Mus musculus: one gene and its partners. The main gene of each other region encodes a partner of the protein of the gene in region 3 in a complex. Links are inferred from orthologs where the notes say so. Each region holds a gene or a part of one and is shown on either strand. Other genes may lie near its edges. The genes, in order: Ppp4c, Ppp4r4, Ppp4r3b, Ppp4r1 and Ppp4r2.

Region 1 (4,712 bases), on a different chromosome or scaffold from region 3:
ATTGGCCAATAGTCAAAGCTATGCGCAGGCTGTGGATAGAGCCCAGTGGCTGAGTACTCAAAGCTCTGGTTCCTTCCCCAGTGCTGCAAGGGAAAACTCAAATCCCTATGCTTCCCCAAACTTCAGCCTCCCATTTTACTGCTCATCACGTACTTGTAGCCTTGCTCTCTAGAATTCTGTAGCCCACACTGGCCTTGAACTCTCAAGATCTGCTTTCCAAGTACTGGGATGAAAGGCATGTGCTATTCTCCTAGCTTCTATGAGGCGATCCTTTTTATTTTATATACATTGGTATTTTAACTGAAATGTGTGTATGTGTGAGTGTTGGATCCTCTGGAACAGTTGTGAGCAGCCATGTGGGTGCTGGGAATTGAACCCAGGTGGTTGGCAGGCTGGAAGAGCAGTCAGTGTTAACCACTGAGCCATCTCCCCACCCTCTATAAGAAAATCTTAAGGCACATAAAAATTGTTCAAAATTGAGAGGGACAATAGAATACTGAAAAAGAGGGAGTATGGTGTGCAGAAGATCAATAACCTGCTCTGCCTACAGCAAAAGGCAAAGAGAAAGGAGGCAGACTGCATGCACTGCGAATTTGGGGAGCTCCAGGGGCTGGCTTAGTGTTTGTGTTGCTTTGAGTTTCAGCAAATGAAAGGTGAAAGCCAGACCTGAAAACCACTTTTTTCTGGATTAATTTTTGTTTTTTGCTTTTTGAGGCAGGGTTTCTCTGTATAGCCCTGGCTGTCCTGGAACTCACTTTGTAGACCAGGCTGGCCTCGAACTCCCAAATCTGCCTGCCTCTGCCTCCTGAGTGCTGGGATTAAAGGCGTGCACCACCAAGTACAGCTATGGATTCATATTTGAGCTTTGATTGAAACTCCAGACTTTCAGCATTCAACTGTGATCAAGCTAGCCTCCAAACCCATTGCCACCTTCAAGGAATATGTTCAGGCAATAAGAAGCATTGTTGGGTGTGGTTGATTAATATCTGGGCTGAGATTCGCTGTGAAATCTGGGCTATTCTAAGCTACAGTGCAACCCTGTCAAGAAAAAAAGTGAACTATTTTGGAAAAGCTTGGTGTCCAGAGAGTGGACACTTAAAAAATTTTTTTTCAATTAGATTTAAGCCTCCGTGTTTTCTCTCATCACCATATGGGTTCTGGGGATCCAAATCAGGTCAGTAGGTTTGGTGACAAGTTCTTTTATCAGATATGCTATCTTCGTGAGGTGACCGCCCCCCGCCAAGTGTTTGCTCTGTAGCTTTGACAGCCTAGTATCCACGATCAGCCTTAGCCTCCTGAGTTCTGGGATTACAAATAGGCCACTATGTCTGGCCCAGGTTCGGAGCTCCTCCATGGGACCGTGGCAAGAAATGTGGACCAGGATAGGCTCTTTCATTGAACAATTATTTATGCATATCTGCAATACTTGGCCTTATTCTAAACACCGGAGAGGCAATGATGAACAAGGCAGTTTTATCCGTGAGATCTGTAATAGAAGCAGCCCAGGGAATAATGTAATGTGAGATGAGAAGCCTACCGCGGCTCGCCTCACCAGGCATACACAAGTACACCAGGCGCACTGCTGTATTTGCCTCCAACCAACTTCGCCCGCCCACTTCCGGCTACTTCTCTTCTCCTTCCCGGTGCCTCAGCGAGGCGTGGCTCGTGTGCGTCACTTCCGGCGCGCGAGAGCACTGGTTTCCCTTTGCTTCCGCGGCGAGGCCGGAAGTAGAAGCGGCGGTGGCGGAGGCCCAAAGCGGAGGGAAGTGGGGAGTCGAAGAGACTCAGCCGGAGTCTCCGCGGCGGTAATTGTCCGAGGCCCCTCTAGGCCACCGTCCTTAGCGCGGGCCCGCGGGGTTCGACGGGAGTTGGCGGGGTGCGGCCAGGGCAGCGGGACGCGGAGGGTCCTGGGCCGCCGTGAGGGGAGGGGGGGGCGGTCCCAGAATCGAGTCCCCCCTCCCGCACGGACCCTCTGATTGGCGGGCTCGCCTTCCCTTTTCCCAGGAGACCCCTGTGCGGTCCGGAGGGGGCGGCGGCCCCGACTCTGACCCGCGCCGGGGGGGTGGGCCATGGCGGAGATCAGCGACCTGGACCGGCAGATCGAGCAGCTACGGCGCTGCGAGCTGATCAAAGAGAGCGAAGTCAAGGCCCTGTGCGCCAAGGCCAGGTGAGCCCGCGGAAGGGACTCCAGCCGGTCGCCCCGGGGGTCTCGGCCGGGCAAACTCCGCCGAGAACTTAGGGCTTGCCCAAGCCCGGAAACGTCGCCAGAGAGAGGTCCGGAGAGCCACTTCTCCCCAGGAACCACGGGGCGGCTGTGTATGGGTTTCTAGTGGAGTAAGAGCGAGTGGCAGGAAGTTCTAGGGAACTCAGGGAAAATGGCTTGCCCTGCTGGGGTGAAAGTTTCTTGGAGGGGCTGAGTTCTCGGACAGATTCTTAAAGAGTGAGGAGATGGTTCAAGGCAAGAAAACAAAACGTGATTTGCGAAAGCCTCTCAATCCCGTCAGTCCTTAAAAGAGAAAATGACTTTGTGTCTAGTTTAACAAACAAGGACTCCAATTGTTCAAAATTACCAGCAAGGAAGGAATGGAATCTGAAGCCAGATCTTGTGAATACGGATCCTTTTAGTTATGATTCTGGAAGACGGAGTTGAGCCACCTTCGTGTTCCATTACGATCCTAAGAAAAACAATAAATAGGTCACACTAGAAGAGTTTCAGACTAGCTCATTTTACTGAGTTGAGGTCTTTTCAAAAAAGGAAGAGTTTTTGAAAAAACTCACAGCTTCAACACAATTTTTTTTAAAGATTTATTTATTATTTTTATGTAAGTAAACTGTAGCTGTCCTCAGACACACCAGAAGAGGGCATCAGATATCATTACAGATGGTTGTGAGCCACCATGTGGTTGCTGGGATTTGAACTCAGAACCTTCAGAAGAGCAGTCGGTGCTGTTAACCATTGAGCTATCTCCAGCCCCTCTCAACAGCCCCTCCCAAGCCCTTGGGATGCCAAGAAAGGAGAATGAGGGGTTTAGGGTCATCCTAAGCTAGGTCAAGGCCACAACATGAGAGCTAAGCATGATATGGATATGGAGAGAGGCAGAGTTCTCTGGGAAGTAGAAGGAAATTGTAAGTCAGGATCCCAGTTTGGGGTGCAGTGACTGTGGATTTGAGTCTGAGCTCTGCCACTTTGTGTGGTGTTGATTTTGAAGTGTCTTAGGAGTCAGTAAAATGGAACAAGTTGTGTTGAGTAAAACAGTTGTGACCATTCTGCGCAGGAAGTGAGTTTAGCATGATGTTGAAAGTTATGAGATGGTATTCAAAGATTGAAGCTAGCTGAAACTTTGTGGGGGGGGGTGTTTGGTTTTGTTTTGTTTCAGAGACAGGGTTTCTCTGTGTAGCCCTCCTGCCTTATCTTTTAACTCACTGTAGACCAGGCTGACCTTAAACTCAGAGATCCCTGCGCCGCCCCCGCCCCCCCCCCCTTTCCAGTGCAGGGATTAAAGGCGTGTGATACCACCCTCTGGTAACCAAGGTGCTTCTAAGAAAAGGTAGACCAGCCGGGTGTGGTGGCACACGGCTTTAATCCCAGCACTTGGGAGGCAGAGGCAGGTGGATTTCTGAGTTCCAGGCCAACCTGGTTTACAAAGTGAGTTCCAGGACAGCCAGGGCTACATAGAGAAACCCTATCTTGAAAAAACAAAAAAGAAAAAGAAAAGAAAAAGAAAAGGTAGACCTTGAAAGATACATTGACCAGCCAACAGCACAGTGAGAAGGAATATTCAGATAGGGTGGGAGTAGGTAGGTAACAGTTGAGGCCGGAAACTTGCAGTGTGACTTCCACCCTGTTTAATGGATAGTAACCTGCTCCTTCCCCTTCCCCACGAGTTCTGTGAGGCCGGGAGAATATGTGTGTGTGCCTGTCTGTCCTCTCATGTAGCCCTAGCTGGCCTTGAACCCAAAGAGATCCATCCATCTCTCTCTCTCAAGTGATGGCTTCTTTTTACAGAGTAGGAAGCCATGACTTGTAGGTACTAGTGACTTGATGCAGGTTACCCACTGAGGACGTGGCAGCTGGTGTCCTGGTTTGCTTTCTCTTGCTGAGCTACATCTCTAGCCCTGTTTGGTTTGAAGTCTTTGTTTTGGAGACAGGATCTCACTGTCTCTTAGGCTGGTTTGGAGCCTGGAATCCTCTGCTTCTACCACCATGCCATCATGCCTGACTGTAAAAGGTACTCCCACATCTTAGGCTAGCCTTGAACTTGCTATAGAGCCAAGTATAACCTGGATCTTTCTGCCTTACCTACCAAGTGCTGACATTCCACGTGTGTGTTCCTGGTATTGATTTGAGGCCTGTGGAAGAGTCTGGTGTTGCTCCTCTGGAAATTGGATTCCCGGGCTCAGCAAGTTTCCAGCTTGATCTGCCACTATTCTAGGAGGTCTTTGTGGAAATCATCACAGGAGTAGGGTAGAAAAGACAATGCTGAGCTGAGCCAGGGAAGATATTGTTAGAAGAACCCACAAAGTAGCAAAAAGAAAAAAACTACACCACAGCCCATTTCTTAAATGTAAATTCCTGTTACAGTGCCACAATCCTTTAATCCCAGCACACATGAGGCAGACACAGACAGGCAGATTTCTTGAGACTAGCCTGGTTTACACATCAAGTTACATATCCAGGCAAGCCAAGGATACATAATGAGGCTCCGTCTCCA
Region 2 (4,700 bases), on a different chromosome or scaffold from region 3:
GTCAAAGGTACAAATAGGGCGAGTAACCAAGATGTCTGGGTTATATGGGGAAGAGCCTCTGGGGGGAAGGGCAGGCAGCCCCTGGGCTGGGGAGTTCAGGGTAGAGGGCAGAGTGTGCTAGCCATACCCTCTAACAGGCAGGGAATGAGGGATGCTAGGAGAACCTGGAGACCAGGTCCGATTGGATGTATCAAATAGGCACCTTGGCCCTTTGTCCTGGCTTTGAGAGCTAATGGTTTGTTTCATGAAGAAGCCAGAGGAAGCTATCCAGTGTCTTGCCCTGCTTTTCTCCGTCATGGTAGGGTCTCTCATGGAAGTGGAAGGCAGATTGCAAGCTCTTGGGGTCCTTTTGTCTTCAGCCCCCACGTGTGGGGGTTACAGGCTCATGCTGGCTTTTTAAAAATTATTATTATTAAATGTGGGTGCTAGGATCTGAATTCATTTCTTTAGAACTGCCCAGCAAGTGTTCTTACTCTTTGAGACATCATGTGTGTGGTGTGTGTGTGTGCATGCCTGTAAGATGGAGTGAGTGTGGAGGTCATTGGACAACTTGTAAGACTCAGTCCCTTCTTTCACTGTGTCCAATGGATGGAACTGAGTGTCAGGTGTGGCACTTTTACCTATGTAAATGGCTGTGCACGTCTGCGTATTGTCAGGCGGTCAAAAGAGGGCCCTGGAATTGGACTTTCAGGGGTTTACTAGTCCCTACAGTAGCGCTAGGTATAGAAACTGTGTCTTCTGGAAGAGGAGCCAGTGTTTTTAACAACTGGGTCATCTCTCCAACCCTTCCCTGTCTTATTTTGACTAGAACCAAATGTAAGCGAGTTGAATCAATGTGCTCCCCTAGAGCAAGAGCAAGGTAGTGCTCCACCGAGGTCTTACACATCTCTTTCTACCCACTGTGCTAAGCACTACCTCCCAGTTCTCTAAGAAGAGCTGCACTCATCATGGCCCAAGTTTTATCCGAAAGGGCTGGCTGTAACCTCTCTTAGTAAATCCTTATTGATTTTTCAGGATTCAGTATAGGTCTTTTTTTTTTTTTTTTTTTTTTTTAAAGAAGGCATTTTGGGACATTTTCCTTCTTCCAACGTCAGGACTGCAGAACTGTATTCGCATATACCTGTCTCCTATCCTCAGGCACACACTAGGCACTAAACCAGCTTGATTTGGCCACTCGAGGGTCCCTAGGCCGGGAGTTGAGTTAGCAGGGGCTTGTCTACACCAGAAGCAGGCCAGCAGAGCAGCCACCAAATAACCAGAAAGTCACTCTCACAGGTGCAGAGGAGCCCAGCACACTGCACACTTCCCCCGCTTCACTCTCATTGGCTCAGCCTGCCCGCGCCCATTTCCCGCCCCCGGCCCGCCTCCTGGCCGCCTGGGGACGCGGAGAGCTCTGCGCACGCGCCGAGGGGCGGGGCTCGCCCCATAAGGGTGGGGCGGGGGCCCAGGGAGCCGGACCAGGGAGCGTCGTTGCGCGGCAGTTGCGTCCTACCTCGCGCGCAGACCCCGGGCGGGGGCGGGGCCGAGGCGGCCGCTGAGGCGGCTCCCTGTTCTGGTCCCGCCCCCTCCACCCGCCCCGCCCCCTCCACCCGCCCCGCCCCCTCGGTGCGCTGCTCTCCGGCTCCCGCCGCGCTCGTGTTCTCGTCGCCTGCGGCCTCTTGCTCTGCTTCCCCGCGGCCGAGAGCGGGACCAGAGAGTCCTTCTGGTGGGCGGCGCGGGGCTGCGCGCGTCCGGCATCCCGGGGCCGCTCGGGCGGGCCGGCGAGGGAGCCCCTCGGCGGTCCATGCATCCGCCGCCGCCCGACGCCGGCGTCGCGATGGATTTCGGGCAGAACAGCCTGTTTGGCTACATGGAGGACCTGCAGGAGCTCACCATCATCGAGAGGCCGGTCCGCCGGAGCCTCAAGGTGCGCGGGACCGAGAGACGCTCCCCTCAGGGCTGCCCGCCGTCCGACTGCCCCTCGGCGCTCCAGCGCCAGTCGCCCTGTCACCGCAGCCGCTTCAGAGCTTCATTCCCTGCCGCAGCCAAGGGTCGGCCTGTCCCTGACCCCTGACTGGAACCAGTCCCTTACCCTGGCTAGAGCTAGCCCTGCCTCCTGACTGAGGCTAGTCCCTTCCTCTGACTGGAGCCGGCTGGGTCCCTTGACTACGGCCAGCCCAGTCTCCGAACTGAAATCAACCTGCCCCTGACTAACTGGAATCAGCCGGGCCCCCCCGACTTGGTCCCCCGACTGCGGCCAGCCCTGCGCCCCACCCGGCTCCGGCCTCCCCCAGGAACGGCCAAGCCGCTGTTCTCGGGGCCAGCCTCCGCAGCCAGCTCCTCAGCCCGTGGTGCTGTCCCAGGTTCTGGTCGCTGGCCCATCCTGGGTTTCACACAGCCCTAGTTCCATCTCTCGCCCGGACGTCTCAGGTCCCATCCTTTCACGGTCCTACCCCCACCTCTGCATAAGATCAAGCTTGGGTCTCCCCGTGCAGCATGGCCTCCTTCACCTTCCAAGGAGAGGCACCCTTCCCAGAGTCGCCCTAGTTTAGGGTTTGAAAGCTTCTCCTCAACCCTTGCCTCCCATCCTGAGTCACCATGCATCCTTTTCCTCCCAGGTCCTCCAGGACTGTAGGCGGGACCCTGCTCCCCAGCCCCCTTGAGGGGAGTCAACCTTCTGTTTCCCCCCCTACCTCGCTCCCCAACCCCGCAGAGTCATCTTTCCAGCCTTGTGGGGTTTCAACCCTCATCCTCACAGATGACAAACCTAGTTTATGGGCCCCTTCCCTACCCTTCTTGCCAGTTCTTCATTACCTTTCTAGAGCCTTTGATTTTCTTTCCGTCTGAGTTCATTCGGTTCCCAACAGGAGCTACAAAGCTTGTCCTTTCTGTTTTATTCAACTCCCCTTTAAAGCATTTCCCAGTGTGGAAAATGTTGTAGCGGCTTGGGGTACTGCGTTGAAGACAAAAAAATATGTGAATATATAGGTAAATATGTTCACATGTGGTATGTATGTGTAATGAAGTTGATTCCATTGAGGTCCTACAGTCTATAAGGCAGAAGAGTACAGATAGTCCCCCCTCTCAGCACTCAACTGGAGATCTGTGTTTAATATGGTGTAGAACAATCCTCAGATTCCAGATTAGTTGTCATTGCTATAATTGTGAATTTTTACCAATAGGGTCTTCAAGGGTCTTTGGGAGCCAACAGTGACCAAATGTTTGTGTGCCTAATTTGCATTTTATCCTTGACAGACACCAGAAGAAATAGAAAGACTGACTGTTGATGAAGATCTCAGTGATATTGACAGGGCTGTTTATCTGCTCAGGTAGGTCTCACTCTTTCTTGCAAATTGCTGCCCTTTGCCTGTTGGGCAAACATGAGCTGTTTCTGAAATGTCATGTCTCAGTTGCTGAGGGTGTTCAGACGGACTGTTCCCCTTGAACAGGGTACTTTTTTGCATGCATCACAATTATGTTATGAATTATGTTAGGTTTGGGCTTATGGATCTGAGAACTGGAATCAAATAACATATCTAATTTAAAGAACACTGCCTGGAGGAGGAACTGCAGAGCAGCTAATGGTTTGAATTGAATCACATCCTTTTGAAATTACTTTCCAAGTATGCTCATGCACGAGTCAGTAAGCATAGATAAGATTTAAAGGTACCCAGTGATTAAAATTTTAAGTTTATTGTAGAGAATGGATATTGTATGCAATACTATATAGAAAAATTCAAAAACATGAATTTTTGCTCAGAATATAGTTTATTATTACTTTTGTAATGTGAGCTTTATATTGCTTGCAAGTTTCTTTTTTTCTTTTTTTTTTTAAATTAAGTTGACTCTACTCTCTAAGTTTCAGACCATCTCGTGGGCTCTACAGAATAGCTTGAGACAAGTGGTTATGTTGTCGCTATATATGCTTCTGATGATTCTACATTACTTCAGTCACAAAGGTCTCCATTTGGGTGCTGGGCGCGGGGGTGGGGTGGGGATTACAGTACATTGCTAGAATCAACTTATATTATGCAGATATGTATAAACACAGTAATACAAATGATTTGAATAATTTTAAAGGGTAAATATATTGATGAAAAGTCTTCAGAAATAGAAAATCTTCTAGGCGTTTGTATATATTTAAGAATTATTTTCACCTGTGTGTGTGTGTGTATGTATATAATTTTCTTTTCTTTTGGGAAATTAGTCTTTGTGATCGCTGTTTAGAATCAGGGTTTGAAGACTGGTGCTACCTCCTATAAAGTCCGTCTCCTTTGTTTAGGTCTGCCTTACTAGCTTCAGCTGCTGTCTATCTTCTTATTCTGTTCTTGATTATAGATTATAGATCATATTTCCAGTCCCATGGTATTCATTGAATGATTATATAAAGAATTCCTTAAGATTCTTCCCCCTCTTCCTCAGATTCAGGGCCTTGTCTGTGTTACACAAAGTGTTTACCACAGAACTGCACCCTCAGCCTCTCTTCAGGACTTTCCTTCAATATTCTTCCTGGTGGCACCATGAGTTTCTCTTCTTACTGTGTATCAGTGTACTTTCCATTTGGACCCTACTGATCATGGTCTTCGATAATTATACCAAACAAAACCCAAACCAAATGGATAAACCAACAGATAAACACACGAACAAAAGCAAGCAAGCAGACAAAACAAAGTGAAGGTGGGCTTGGTGGGTACACCTGTAATCCCAAAGCTGATGCAGAA
Region 3 (3,919 bases):
AATATTCATAGGATTATGATAATTATATATAAAATTATAAAAGTTTTCTTTAAATTATGAAGTACTTACTGTATAAAGCACTAAGACATAAACTAAATCCATTGCTTTTCAAATGTTCCTTATAGCCCCCTAAAGGGCTCCAGTGAATTGCCTCTCCTTGTTCCAAGTTTTCTGTGGAGTCCTGTCCTGGCTCATGTATAAGGAATCTAGGACATTTATTTTTAGAAGGTGATTTTGAAAAACCTTTTTTGATCAATTTTGGAACTATACAAGTTTTTATTTTTGTTTTTCTCAACAAGTATTATATTGTTTTATAATGTGAATTTTGTGCCTATACAGGAAGATATCAAGTCTCTTACTGCACATATAGTTGAAAACTTTTATAAAGCACTTGAATCGATTGAATATGTTCAGACATTCAAAGGATTGAAGACTAAATATGAACAAGAAAAAGACAGACAAAATCAGAAACTGAACAGGTATTATTTAAGTGTATTATTACATTTATAGCAAGCAAAATTAAGTACAAAATTGTACACAGTTTAGATCTTATCCAGTGAAATTTTCTCTATTAGCAGAGCATAAGGTAAACTGTCTTTCTGCCACATCAGTTAATTATATGACAACTTGATACTGCATATAGTAATTTTGATAGAGTCTTAATTTGCAACATACAAAAACATTTGAAGATTTCTCTAGCTACATCTTATTTGATATGCTGTACATGCTAAGTTAAACTACATTAGTTCATCTTGGTTAGTCATTCTTCCCAAAGTTTATCTAGTTATGACCTTGTAGTCATTACTCAGCATCTGACATATTTCTTACAGTGTACCATCTATATTGCGTAGTAACCGATTTCGCAGAGATGCAAAAGCCTTAGAAGAGGATGAAGAAATGTGGTTTAATGAAGATGATGATGAAGAAGGAAAGGCAGTCATAACACCAGTTGAAAAATCTAAGACTGAAGATGATTTTCCAGATAGTTATGAAAAATTTATGGAAACTAAAAAAGGTACTAATGTTTGTAATTTTCATATATCACCACTTAGTAAAACAATTATACAGCCTGAGTTTGATCCTTAACACAGTACACACACATACAAACACACATAGAATAATAATATTTTACTTATTTGAAAAAAAATCTGGCCAAGGTTTGTAAAACAAGAAGCACAAGAATTTTATACTGAATCATACCCTTTTAAAGTTATCTTGGATATTCATATTTAAAATGCTTTCCTTGAAACTTAATGTTTTTAATGCTGTTCATTTTGAGTTTAGAAATGTTCAGTTTATAATATTTAAAACAGGGTCACAGTACATAGCCTCGTTGTCGCCTAGAACTCACAGTCACGTCACCCAACCCCAGCTTCTCAAATGCTGTGGTTACAGTGTGTGCCACCACACCTGACAACTGTTTAGAAATTTATTGTATACTATACTTCTGAACAGATCCGGCCTGACTTTGTTTCTTTGCTAAAATTTCATTGAAGACTTGTATTATAACTAAATTTTTTCTAAGTTTTTATTATTGAGTAACTATAACTATAGAAGCTTAGAACACTCTACCTCTGATATTTACAGCCTGAGCAATGTGAACTCAAAGACATGACTTTCCTCTTTGAAATTTCAACTATTACTTAAGGGGGTGCAGTTAGGCATGGTGGCAGCACCTTTAGTCCCACCATTCTTGGGCTGAGGTGGTAGAAGCACGACGAGCTTGAGGCCAGGCCATGCTACATGCTACTCTGTCTTCAGAAAAGGCAAAACAAACCCAGGCATGGTGACACCTTCTCATGACCCAGCACTAAAAGAGTTGGAGGGAGGAAGACTAGAAACTGAAAGTGATCCTCAGCTACAAACCAAGTTTGGGACCAGTCTGAGATCCATTAGACACTGCCTCAACGAGGGAAGGGATAAGTGTTCCTACTTATGTAGAACTAAGATATAGCTAATATCTTTAAAGAAATATAATCACTGTAATGGCCTGCAAATACTATTTGTCTATTTAATAGAAATTTATTTGTTGGAAGGCAAGATTATGTCTTGCATGACTTATTCTTCAGGCATTTCTTCTTAGAATCTCATTCAGGTGACTGAGTATCTTTTCTTTCAGCTATTCCCTCACTAACTCATTTCCTACTTATTAGTGCCATGAGGACCACTTACAGCTAACAAAAAGCCTACTGGTGTTCTAAGGAACATTATTTACTTTTCATTTGTATACTTGCTAGCTCTTGAACCCAGGGCCTGGCTAGCACTCTACCACTGAGCTTTCTATCTCCAGTCCAGAACAGGTGCTGTTTAGCAGACAAGTTCATTTCTTTCAGTCAGTAGAGATGTCGCCCTCAATATCACGATAAAAAAGAAACAAAGGCCATGCATGCTGTTAGGAAATGTTTCAAAATAAAATTACCAGACTTTAAAGGAGTTTGGGCACCTATGCTATAAAGAAATCAAGTAAAGAAACTTGGAGTTTTTAGGGAGTAAATGACTAGGATACTTAAGAGTTATCCTTAGGAATTTTCAGTGGTGACTTGTGAAAGAAGATTTGTAGAGGGGAGTTGGTGAATGGAAGACAGTAACAGAAATCAGACTGCTAAGAGCTTCTTTACAAGCAAACACTGAGAACAATCTACTGTAAGATGGTTGGTTCTGTTCATTGACGTTCCTAAGAGTCTGACCAAATAGAACATGTACTTATCTTAACATGTGCTGTTAGAAAGCATACATAGGCAAAGTTGTATGTTGTCACTTCAACGAATGCTTTGACTTAGCAGTATTTAATGCAGGCTCATTTTACTTTTGCTTTAGCAAAAGAAAGTGAAGACAAAGAAAACCTTCCCAAAAGGGCATCATCTGGTGGCTTCAAATTTACTTTCTCCCATTCCCCCAGTGCTACTAATGGAACAAACAGTACAAACAGTAAGTCTGTAGTGAGTCAGACAACACCAGCAAGTTCTAATGTGGCCTCTTCCAAAACTACAAGCCTGGCTACATCAGTGACAGCCACAAAGGTATGTAAAATAAAAATTCCATACAAACTCTGCCTTTTCCATCTGTAAAACTACTTTGTGTGTGCTGATGATTTAGATAAAAGTTTCAAAGAATGAAAAGGTTTTATTATCATCAGAACCTGACTCCCAACATTGAATGCAAACACATGAGGGTTATCTTGCATATTATGTAAATTTTAGGTTAAACATTTTTTTCTTTTAGGACTTTTATAAAGAACTGTTGACCATTTTATTTAGCTATATATGAGCCTATTGAAAATTCCCAGTTTGTTGCCGTTTTAAACATAATAGCAATGTGAACTTTACATACATCATTTCAGATCTATGTGTAAGTCTGTATAGAATGTGCATTGTACCCTATTTCCAAATGCAAATGCTCAATAAAATTGGAACAAATGGATAATTTCTTAACATACTACTTGTATAACACCAAAAGTTAGTTTTGTATTTAAGAAATATTAGGGATATTCCCACTTAATCATGAACAAGACAGCATGTTGTTATTATTGCTGTTATTTAACCATGACTGTAAAATATTGGTTAGCACATTTAGTGAAACAACCAAAATTACTATTGTATAATCTCCTATTAGAGAGTAAAAAGTCCTTGTGTGCTTGAAACTACACTTGGTTATAATTTACTCTGTTGCAGAGAGGAAAAAAAATCCTCTTCTACAGTTAATTTAGTCATTGGCTTTGATCCTTATGATCATTGAATTTTCATATATTAGAAAAAAGGAAGTTTGCCAGGCATAAATTGCTTATGCCTGTAATTCCAGCAGTTAGTTATCATCTACAAGCTCTTTTCTCAAAACAAGGAAATACACCACAAAAGCTGGATACGATTACCTGCTTTCTGCCGTTCATGCTTTTCAGGAGGCTGCAAGGCAGAGGTATCAC
Region 4 (3,919 bases), on a different chromosome or scaffold from region 3:
AATGGATTTACTCTGATGGAACATCATAAAATGTCCTGAAGCATCGTATGGTATTGTCTGGGTTCCCATCTTGTGCTTGGTGATGGCTGGGCTGACAGTCACACTTGTCTCTCCCGCCAGACTGTCATTGAAGACGACTGCCTCCCCATGGACCAGTTTGCTGTGCACTTGATGCCACATTTGCTGACCTTGGCAAATGACAGGGTTCCCAATGTTAGAGTGCTGCTTGCGAAAACCCTGCGACAGACTCTGCTGGAGAAAGGTGGGTGGTGCTGGTAGGATGTATGAGCAGTAAAGAGGGTCACAGAGGCCAGGCAAGCATGACACACACCTTCAATCCCAGCACTTGGAAGGCAGACACAGAGAGGCACATGGGTTTTTGTGAGTTGGAGGCTAACCTGATCCAGTATAGCCAAGGCTACACAAAGAAACTCTGTCTTGAAAAACAAAAGTGGGAGTTGGGAGGGTATTTTAATGAAGACACTGGTGTTTGGGTGAAAGTCTTTTATTCTGGACATAGGGCATTTTTCTAACTTAAATCTTGTAATTTTGGTGATACGGTGTTTGGGGGGATGGTTCATTCTGTAAAGTGTTTGCTCTGCAGGCAAGAGGATCTGCATTTGCTCCCAAGAACCTGTATAAACGTGTGGGTTGTGATAGTGTGCATGTGTTGGAAGGCAGAGTTGGGTAGATCTCTGGAACTGAGTGGCCATCTAGGCACTGACAAGCTTAAAGTTCAGTTAGAAAGCCTGTCTCAAAAAAAAGGGGGGGGATGGTTTCACAGTCTTAGGTTTTCTATTGCTTGACCAAAAAGCAAGTTAGAGAGGAAAGAATTTATTCAGCTTACACTTCCAGATCATAGACCACCATTGGAGGAAGTCAGGACAGGAGCTCAAGCAGGGCAGGAACCTGAAGGTAGGAGCTGATGCAGAGGCCATGGAGGGTGCTGCTTACTGGCTTGCTTCCCATGGCTTACTTAGCCTTTGTTACAGAACCAAGGACCACCTACCCAGGGATGGCACCACCCACCATGGGCTGGGCCCTCCCCCATTGACCACTAATTGAAAAAATACCTCCAGCTGGATCTTATGGAGGCACTTCCTCAACTGAGGCTCCTTCCTCTCTGATGACTCCAACTTGTGTCAAGTTGACACACAGAGCCAGCCAGTACAATGTGGAAAGTAGTCAAGGGAAAATACTGAGTGCCAGTTCTGGCCTCCATACACACACAGTACATTCATACATATACAACATTTCAGAACGTAAATAATGGGAAGCAGCCAAGCTCCTCAGCAGGGTCAAACGAGGGTGCCAAGTACACAAGGTAGCCTCTGGCTCCATGTACACAGGGCTGGCGTGCCCGTCGTGAAGACACTCCCTGCAGCTTGCACTTGACTGTGGGCATTGTGGCTGAGGTAGGAGGCTCGTCTTTCCCTTCGTTCTCTAAGTAGGAGCCAGGCACCTGGCAGTATGTGTTTTGTTGGTTTTAGTACTGTGACTGCCTTCTCCAAATGCCACATGAAGTTGAGTGTGTGAGCTCATGGACAAGATATGGAAGAAATGTAGAGTAAGTCATAGTACAGGAATAAGCCAATACTGCTTTTTTCCTTGCTTTTTGTATATTTTTACTTTTTTGTCTTGTCTTGTTTTGTCTTGTTTTTTGAGACCGGGTTTCTCTGTGTAGCCTTAACTCTGTAGGCAAGGCTGGCCCCTAACCTAGAACCCAGAGATCCACCAGCCTCACCTCCCGAGTGCTGGGATTAAAGGTGTTCATTACCACTGCCTGGCTCGATCTTCCCCCAATCCCATATACATTTTCAAAAGAACAGTAAAATGGCTTTCCCCCTTAGAAAAGGGGTCTGGGTGTGATTGGTGTTTATCTGCTCTTTTCCTTTTTCTGAGCTGAAAATAGCTGGAACTGTTTTAATAAGCATGAGCTTATTCACCGTCAAGAGATTTGCCTATCACCAAAACAATCTCACAGTCCCTCTTAAGTTAGTGCTGCTTTCCCTGCACCGGTGAGCTTACAGATGGCTGAGTCCGCGCACAGTGCTTACTCAGGGAACTATTGTGCAGGCAGCGAGCCTTCTGCACCTGACTGTACTTGACTAAACTCCCAAACACCAAGACTAATGTTGTGTCCTGCACATCGTTTCCAGAGTACTTCTTAGCCTCTGCCAGCTGTCACCAGGAGGCCGTGGAGCAGACAATCATGGCCCTGCAGATGGACCGAGACAGTGATGTCAAGTACTTTGCAAGCATTCACCCCTCCAGTACCAAACTCTCTGAAGATGCAATGAGCACAGCTTCCTCCACCTACTGACCCACGGTGTCCATCCTGCATCCGCAAGAGCCTGGCCTCGACTGCCTGCACCACTCGGGACAGCTGTGGTGGGGGCCTTCCTCCTGCCAACTCATTCGCAGGTGCAGGTTGCCTACTCCCAATACCAGTGGTTTTAAGAGTCAAGAGAAAGTACAGTAAACACTATTATCTTATCTTGACTTAAGGGAAAGTAAATCTCAGAGGATTATAATTGTCACCAAAGCCTTAACTCGTTCCTTCATCTTCCTGACTGATGGCTTGAATTGGCAGAGCATTTTCCCTTCGGGAAGGATGAGGTTCCCAGAGACCTGCGTTGCTTTCTTCTGGTTTTATTTAACGGCTGATAAATGACATTCTTACGGCCAGAAGGTGGATGTGCACCGGACAGGAAAGGCCTTCAGTATTAGCCTAAGCATTTCTTCTAGGTGCTGAGCCTGTTCAGCTCCTTGGCTGCCCTGCCCAGCCCAGCCCTAAGTGTGAATAGTTCTTGGCGTGTATAAATGACAAAGGAGTTTTTCCTCTCCTAAGGGCTTGATGTTAACACTAAATAGAATCTGATTTTGACTCCTAATGCAGCACATTGCTGTACACATTTACAGAATGTTTGCAGAATCTCTCCTGATATTTTTCATGCTGGTCATGACCTGAAGGAAATTTCTTAGCACGAATATTGTGTCAGGTATTTTTAACTTGATCATGGTCAGCTCTGAGGTGCAACTGTGTCTTCCCGTGCTGCACCCCTGTGACCACTCTGGGGTGTGCAGCCTGAATCATGCTGTTAGAACTGTTGTGGTACAAGCTCCAAATAAAATTTATTAATAGGATCTATAAAGAGAGACACCACCCACTTTGTTTCCTAAATGTCTACAAATAAATGCAGTATGTGGCCTGTATTACTTAGCATAAGATGGGAGAAAGGCGTTTGTCTTTAGCTCAGTGTTCACCTGTCAGCCCTCCTCTTGGCAGGCGGCAGCAGCCTGAAGTCCAGGCTGCTATGAACACCACCTACTCAGTGCGCCATGGAAGGGCAGCCAGGGCGGGTGTTGGCTTCACTTGAGGACTGACCCAGCCTTAGGATGCTAAGCCTTAGCTTCCATCCACGACCCCTTCGGCCTTGCAGCTTCCATGGTGGGAGAGCGCGCACCTTCACGGGTGGCCCCTGACCTCTGCAGGAGTGCAATCCAGGTAGGTGGTTCCAGGCCCTGCTGCTCCCTGGAACTGACTCACCCTCTCTCACCTCTCAAAACCAGGACCACATGAAACAGCTACCAAACCTGAGATGCAGATTTGCCCACCCTGGACCACACCTTGTATGTGCTGACCCTGAGTAAACATCCTTCCCAGAGCTTGACTCAGTGTGTTGGTCTCACTACCCAGTGACTAGCATCAATTGTCCCAGTAAAGCCAAGGTTTCACTCATTCTTGTTACTCACAGCTCACTTTTCAGCCCTAGCGGAACAAAACAAGATTCTTTATTCAACATGTCACACAAACAACAGTAGGCCCCCACTGCTGGTATTTCTCTCAGTATTTCCCACCTTTCCACACAATTGCTCACTGAGCCATGAGCCTCAACAGCTTCTGCAGAGCAGCATT
Region 5 (3,966 bases), on a different chromosome or scaffold from region 3:
ACACCAGATATTTCTAAAATGCAGCTAGTTATTAGAAAGCTAAACTACAACCATAAATGAATCGTGTAAGAAATGAATACTTGTTAATAAAGACAGATCTGAGCATGTTGGGGCATGCATGTAGTTCCAGCACTACAGAGATGAAAAAGCAGGACCCTAAGTTCAAAGCCAGTGTGTGGGTAACTCTCAAAATATTTCTTTTTTCAAGACAGGGTTTTTCTGTGCAGCCCTGGCTGTCCCAGTACTCACTCTGTAAACCAAGCTGGCTTGAACTCACAAGAGATTTGCCTGCCTCGGCCTCGAGTGCTGGGATTAAAGGCTTAAAAGAAAATTTTTAAGGGGCTGAGAATGTAGTTCAGTGTTATGGCTCTTTCTTGTCTTGCACATGAGACACTAGGTCCCAGCTCCAGTGCCCTCCAGTAATCAATAATAATAACAAGATGTTGACAACAATGAGGGAAGCCGGGGTGGCAGTCACATCTGTAACCCCAGCACTTGGTGGCTGAGGCACGTCTGAGTATGAAGTCAGTCTGGGTTACCTACTGAGTTCCAAACCACCTGAGCTAGGTGAAGGTTACACCTAAAAGGATAAAAACAGCCTGGTTTGGCTACCTATTAAGAAGGCAGGGGCAATACAGATCAGAGTTCAAATCCAGCCTGGTCTAAAATAAATAGTTGTGGCTCCAGGCCCTGACTGAACAGTGCTAATGACAGAGAAGCTGTACAATCACTTGCTGAGTGATTATATTATTCAAACTAAGCAGGCAGTTCACCAACATGAACCCAAAATAACCTTTCCTCTTTCCTGCTCCTCACCCTACCCTACTCAGAGCAGTGTACAAAGATGGGTTATCTTCCAGAGTAACTGAGCCAAACTGTGAGAGCAACTTTTTCCACACAAGCTATAGAATAATAAAACTAGATTCTTCCTTTGGATAAAAAATACAGTATAAGTTGAGAGCAACTTTTGGAAAAGAGCCTAGTAAGATGTTGGGCATATGTAAGTTAGCTAGCCTAGGTCAGGACAGTGACAACCTCACCATCTGGAACGTGTCAGATAATCACCTTAAGTCCTCAAGGCAAGAAATACAAGTTAGACTTCAAACAACTACAAGAATTAGTAAGAAAACAAAAGGCTGGGTAAGCAACAGCACAAAAAAAAAAAAAAAAAAAAATCCTCAACAAATCCCTGAAACAGTATCAAAGCCACACAATGGAACATTCTTTCCTAAGTTCTTTCCAACTAAAACTAGTAGGTTCTTTGTGCCAAAGTATAGAAATCTAAAAAACTCTGATAAATTCTTAACAACTGTTATGCAACATGCAGAAAGATTCTCACCTCTACTGTGATCTTTAAGGCATCTCAATTTTTTAACTTACATTCACTTATTGATTTGTGTTTGAGTCCGAGGACAACTTTTGGGAATCAGCTCTATTATGTGGCACTCCCAGATCAAACGCAAGCCCTCAGGCCTGCTAGTCAACACCTTAACCTGTTGGGCTATCTCACCCATCCCCAGGGGTCTCGAATTTGGACAGATCTATTCCGTGAGTGTTTTGAAATCCTCTCTCCCCCACATTCCTGAGCAACTCTGAATGACAGGTAGGCCTGTGACCACGAACCCATGTTTCTACTTACATTGTTTCTCCAGTTTTAGCTACATGACAGAGAAACTGATCCAGTACAGGACAAACTTCCTTTTTCCCTCTCTTCTCAAAATCTAGATAAGAAAAAGAAAAAAAAAAGGGTTATCACTACGTCCTTGCCAAGAACATTCAAACTTTCTCTACATTTGGAAACAATTAAGAAAATCAGACTCAGCTGGGCGCCTGTGGGACAAGCCTTTAATCTCTGCACTTGGGAGGCAGAAGCAGGCGGATTTCTTTGAGTTTCAGACCAGCCAAGGCAACACAGAAAAACTGTGTCAAAACGAAATTTTTTTTTTTAATTTAAGAAAGAAAATCAGCCTCTCACTCAAATACCCACATACGTGCACCCTGAATTCCTACCTCCTCGTTACCCTTTTTCACCGGCAGTGCAAATTCTCCTAAAGGGGGCACTCCACCTCACAGACTATCCTTCAGTGTTCCCCAAGTGTGGCGCAGGGAGCCCCGGCATCCGACCCGAACCCCGACCGCCGCAGCGTGCACCTGAATGAATCCAGCCCCAAGCCACTAAAGCCACCCAACCGAGCCGCCATCCTCCAAATGCTCCCGCATGTCCTAGGGGGTGGGGGTGTTTTCAGAACGCCGGGACCCCGCGGTTCCAAGTTTGGGAAGCAGTGTTCTCGAGCCTGTTGCTTGCCAAGCCGCGGCCCCAGCGTCTGATGAGTGCGAACCTCCCCAGGCCCGGAGGCCGCCGCCGCCGCCGCACGACGAGGCCGCGCCGGTGCTAGGCGCTCCCCTCCCCCCCACCCCACGCCCGCAACCCACACAAAGCCCCGCGCCGGCGACAGCTACAGCAGGGAGGCGCGGGCGGCCTCCGCCCGAGCGCGCGGCCGGCAGCGCGGCGACCCCCACCTTTCAGCGCCTCCTGCAGCCTCTCGACGTCCATGGCGCCGCGCAGTCCCTCGCCGCCGGCGCCTCCCTCGGCCGCCGTCCCGGGGGCCGCGGCGCCCGCCCCCGCCCCCCCGGACGCCCGCCCCCGCCCTCGCACACACTCCGCCACACGCCGGCGACCGGGGAGGGGGGTCCCGAAGGGAGCCGGGGCGGGGGGAAGCGAGAGACGGAGCGAGACGGACAGAGCGAGAACCTCCCCGAGCCGCTACCACCAGCCCTCCAACATGGCGCCCGGCACGTCAGCGCGCGCACGCTCCCCACAGCTGTCGTCCTCGCGCCCGCTGCGCGCGCGCACACACCCACACACGCCCAGGAGCGCTCCCGGCCCGCCCAGTGCGCGTGCGCGGCGGAGGCGCACGGGATCGAGGCGCGAGTTCGGAGCCCGCGGCTGGAGCTGCGCGCTGCGGACGCCGCTGAACAGAGGAAGAGTGTAGCTGATGTGTCCACATTGCTTCTCTGAGCCTCCGTTTCCCCATCAGTACACTGAAGGCGCTGGTGCCGACCACTCTTGTGGTCCCTGTGTACTGTTGCTGTCATCACTAGGGCTCAGAGAACACATTTTCAATGTTTGTTTGTTTGTTTGTTTAATTTTCGAGGATCTTATGTTTCCCAAGCTGGAAGATGACCTTATGCTACTCATTCTTTTGATTTCACCTCCCAAGCGCTGGGATAATAGAGGCTTACCACGACTCCTGTTTTTATGGGTTCTGAGATACAAACCAAGCACTTGGCAAGCATTTTACCAGCTGAGACACATTCAAGCCCAGTATGCCTTTACACACACACACACACACACACATACATTATATAATATGGATGCGAAGTATGTCAAGACAATTCTAGAACTCTATGACAAATGGAGACAAAGTATGTCAAGATAGTTCTAGAACTCAAAACATCTAGCTCTAAACCAGCACGGAACATTTTATACTTTTGCAGTGGGCCAGCAAGATGGCTCATCTGGTGAAGGTGCTTAGAGCCAGAGTTCTATCCATTGTATGCATGTGGTTGTCATCTGACTTCCATTTTAACACGCATACTCGGGCACACACAAAATAATTTTTTAAAAAAAGAAGAAAAGAAAAGAAAAGAAAAGAAAGAAAAAAGAAAAGCTCTTGCTTGTTCCACCTTCTCTTCCTGAGGCCCACATACCATGTCAGCAAAGAAAGGATGAAGCCTGTTACCAAACGTTAACTGAGACGCTGAGAATCTGGACATAGCCATTACAAAGTTGACTTTAAAAAGATGTTTCTGGCTGGGCAGTGGTGGTGCACGCCTTTAATCCCAGCACTCGGGAGGCAGAGGCAGGTGGATTTCTGAGTTCGAGGCCAGCCTGGTCTACAAAGTGAGTTGCCAGCCTGGTCTACAAAGTGAGTTCCAGGACAGCCAGAGAAACCCTGTCTCGAA

The links.
Region 1: Ppp4r3b (region 3) and Ppp4c share a complex: the UniProt entries of both Homo sapiens proteins name them as parts of the PP4 complex. The link is inferred for Mus musculus from reciprocal best matches to the Homo sapiens genes PPP4R3B and PPP4C.
Region 2: Ppp4r3b (region 3) and Ppp4r4 share a complex: the UniProt entries of both Homo sapiens proteins name them as parts of the PP4 complex. The link is inferred for Mus musculus from reciprocal best matches to the Homo sapiens genes PPP4R3B and PPP4R4.
Region 4: Ppp4r3b (region 3) and Ppp4r1 share a complex: the UniProt entries of both Homo sapiens proteins name them as parts of the PP4 complex. The link is inferred for Mus musculus from reciprocal best matches to the Homo sapiens genes PPP4R3B and PPP4R1.
Region 5: Ppp4r3b (region 3) and Ppp4r2 share a complex: the UniProt entries of both Homo sapiens proteins name them as parts of the PP4 complex. The link is inferred for Mus musculus from reciprocal best matches to the Homo sapiens genes PPP4R3B and PPP4R2.

What each region holds. Positions count from the first base shown.
Region 1 is NC_000073.6:126,789,516-126,794,227, reverse strand, and holds the start of Ppp4c (serine/threonine-protein phosphatase 4 catalytic subunit), read left to right. Parts: upstream 1-1,680; 5' UTR 1,681-1,805; intron 1,806-1,863; exon of another isoform or gene 1,864-2,004; 5' UTR 2,005-2,069; coding exon 2,070-2,167; intron 2,168-4,712. UniProt on the Homo sapiens protein: Protein phosphatase that is involved in many processes such as microtubule organization at centrosomes, maturation of spliceosomal snRNPs, apoptosis, DNA repair, tumor necrosis factor (TNF)-alpha signaling, activation of c-Jun N-terminal kinase MAPK8, regulation of histone acetylation, DNA damage checkpoint signaling, NF-kappa-B activation and cell migration.
Region 2 is NC_000078.6:103,530,837-103,535,536, forward strand, and holds the start of Ppp4r4 (serine/threonine-protein phosphatase 4 regulatory subunit 4), read left to right. Parts: upstream 1-1,728; 5' UTR 1,729-1,783; coding exon 1,784-1,906; intron 1,907-3,234; coding exon 3,235-3,308; intron 3,309-4,700. UniProt on the Homo sapiens protein: Putative regulatory subunit of serine/threonine-protein phosphatase 4.
Region 3 is NC_000077.6:29,210,777-29,214,695, forward strand, and holds part of Ppp4r3b (serine/threonine-protein phosphatase 4 regulatory subunit 3B), read left to right. Parts: intron 1-125; exon of another isoform or gene 126-228; intron 229-339; coding exon 340-479; intron 480-830; coding exon 831-1,015; intron 1,016-2,817; coding exon 2,818-3,020; intron 3,021-3,919. UniProt on the Homo sapiens protein: Regulatory subunit of serine/threonine-protein phosphatase 4 (PP4). May regulate the activity of PPP4C at centrosomal microtubule organizing centers.
Region 4 is NC_000083.6:65,838,698-65,842,616, forward strand, and holds the end of Ppp4r1 (serine/threonine-protein phosphatase 4 regulatory subunit 1), read left to right. Parts: intron 1-120; coding exon 121-262; intron 263-2,159; coding exon 2,160-2,323; 3' UTR 2,324-3,229; downstream 3,230-3,919. UniProt on the Homo sapiens protein: Regulatory subunit of serine/threonine-protein phosphatase 4. May play a role in regulation of cell division in renal glomeruli. The PPP4C-PPP4R1 PP4 complex may play a role in dephosphorylation and regulation of HDAC3.
Region 5 is NC_000072.6:100,832,472-100,836,437, reverse strand, and holds the start of Ppp4r2 (serine/threonine-protein phosphatase 4 regulatory subunit 2), read right to left. Parts: upstream 2,801-3,966; 5' UTR 2,555-2,800; coding exon 2,521-2,554; intron 1,722-2,520; coding exon 1,640-1,721; intron 1-1,639. UniProt on the Homo sapiens protein: Regulatory subunit of serine/threonine-protein phosphatase 4 (PP4). May regulate the activity of PPP4C at centrosomal microtubule organizing centers.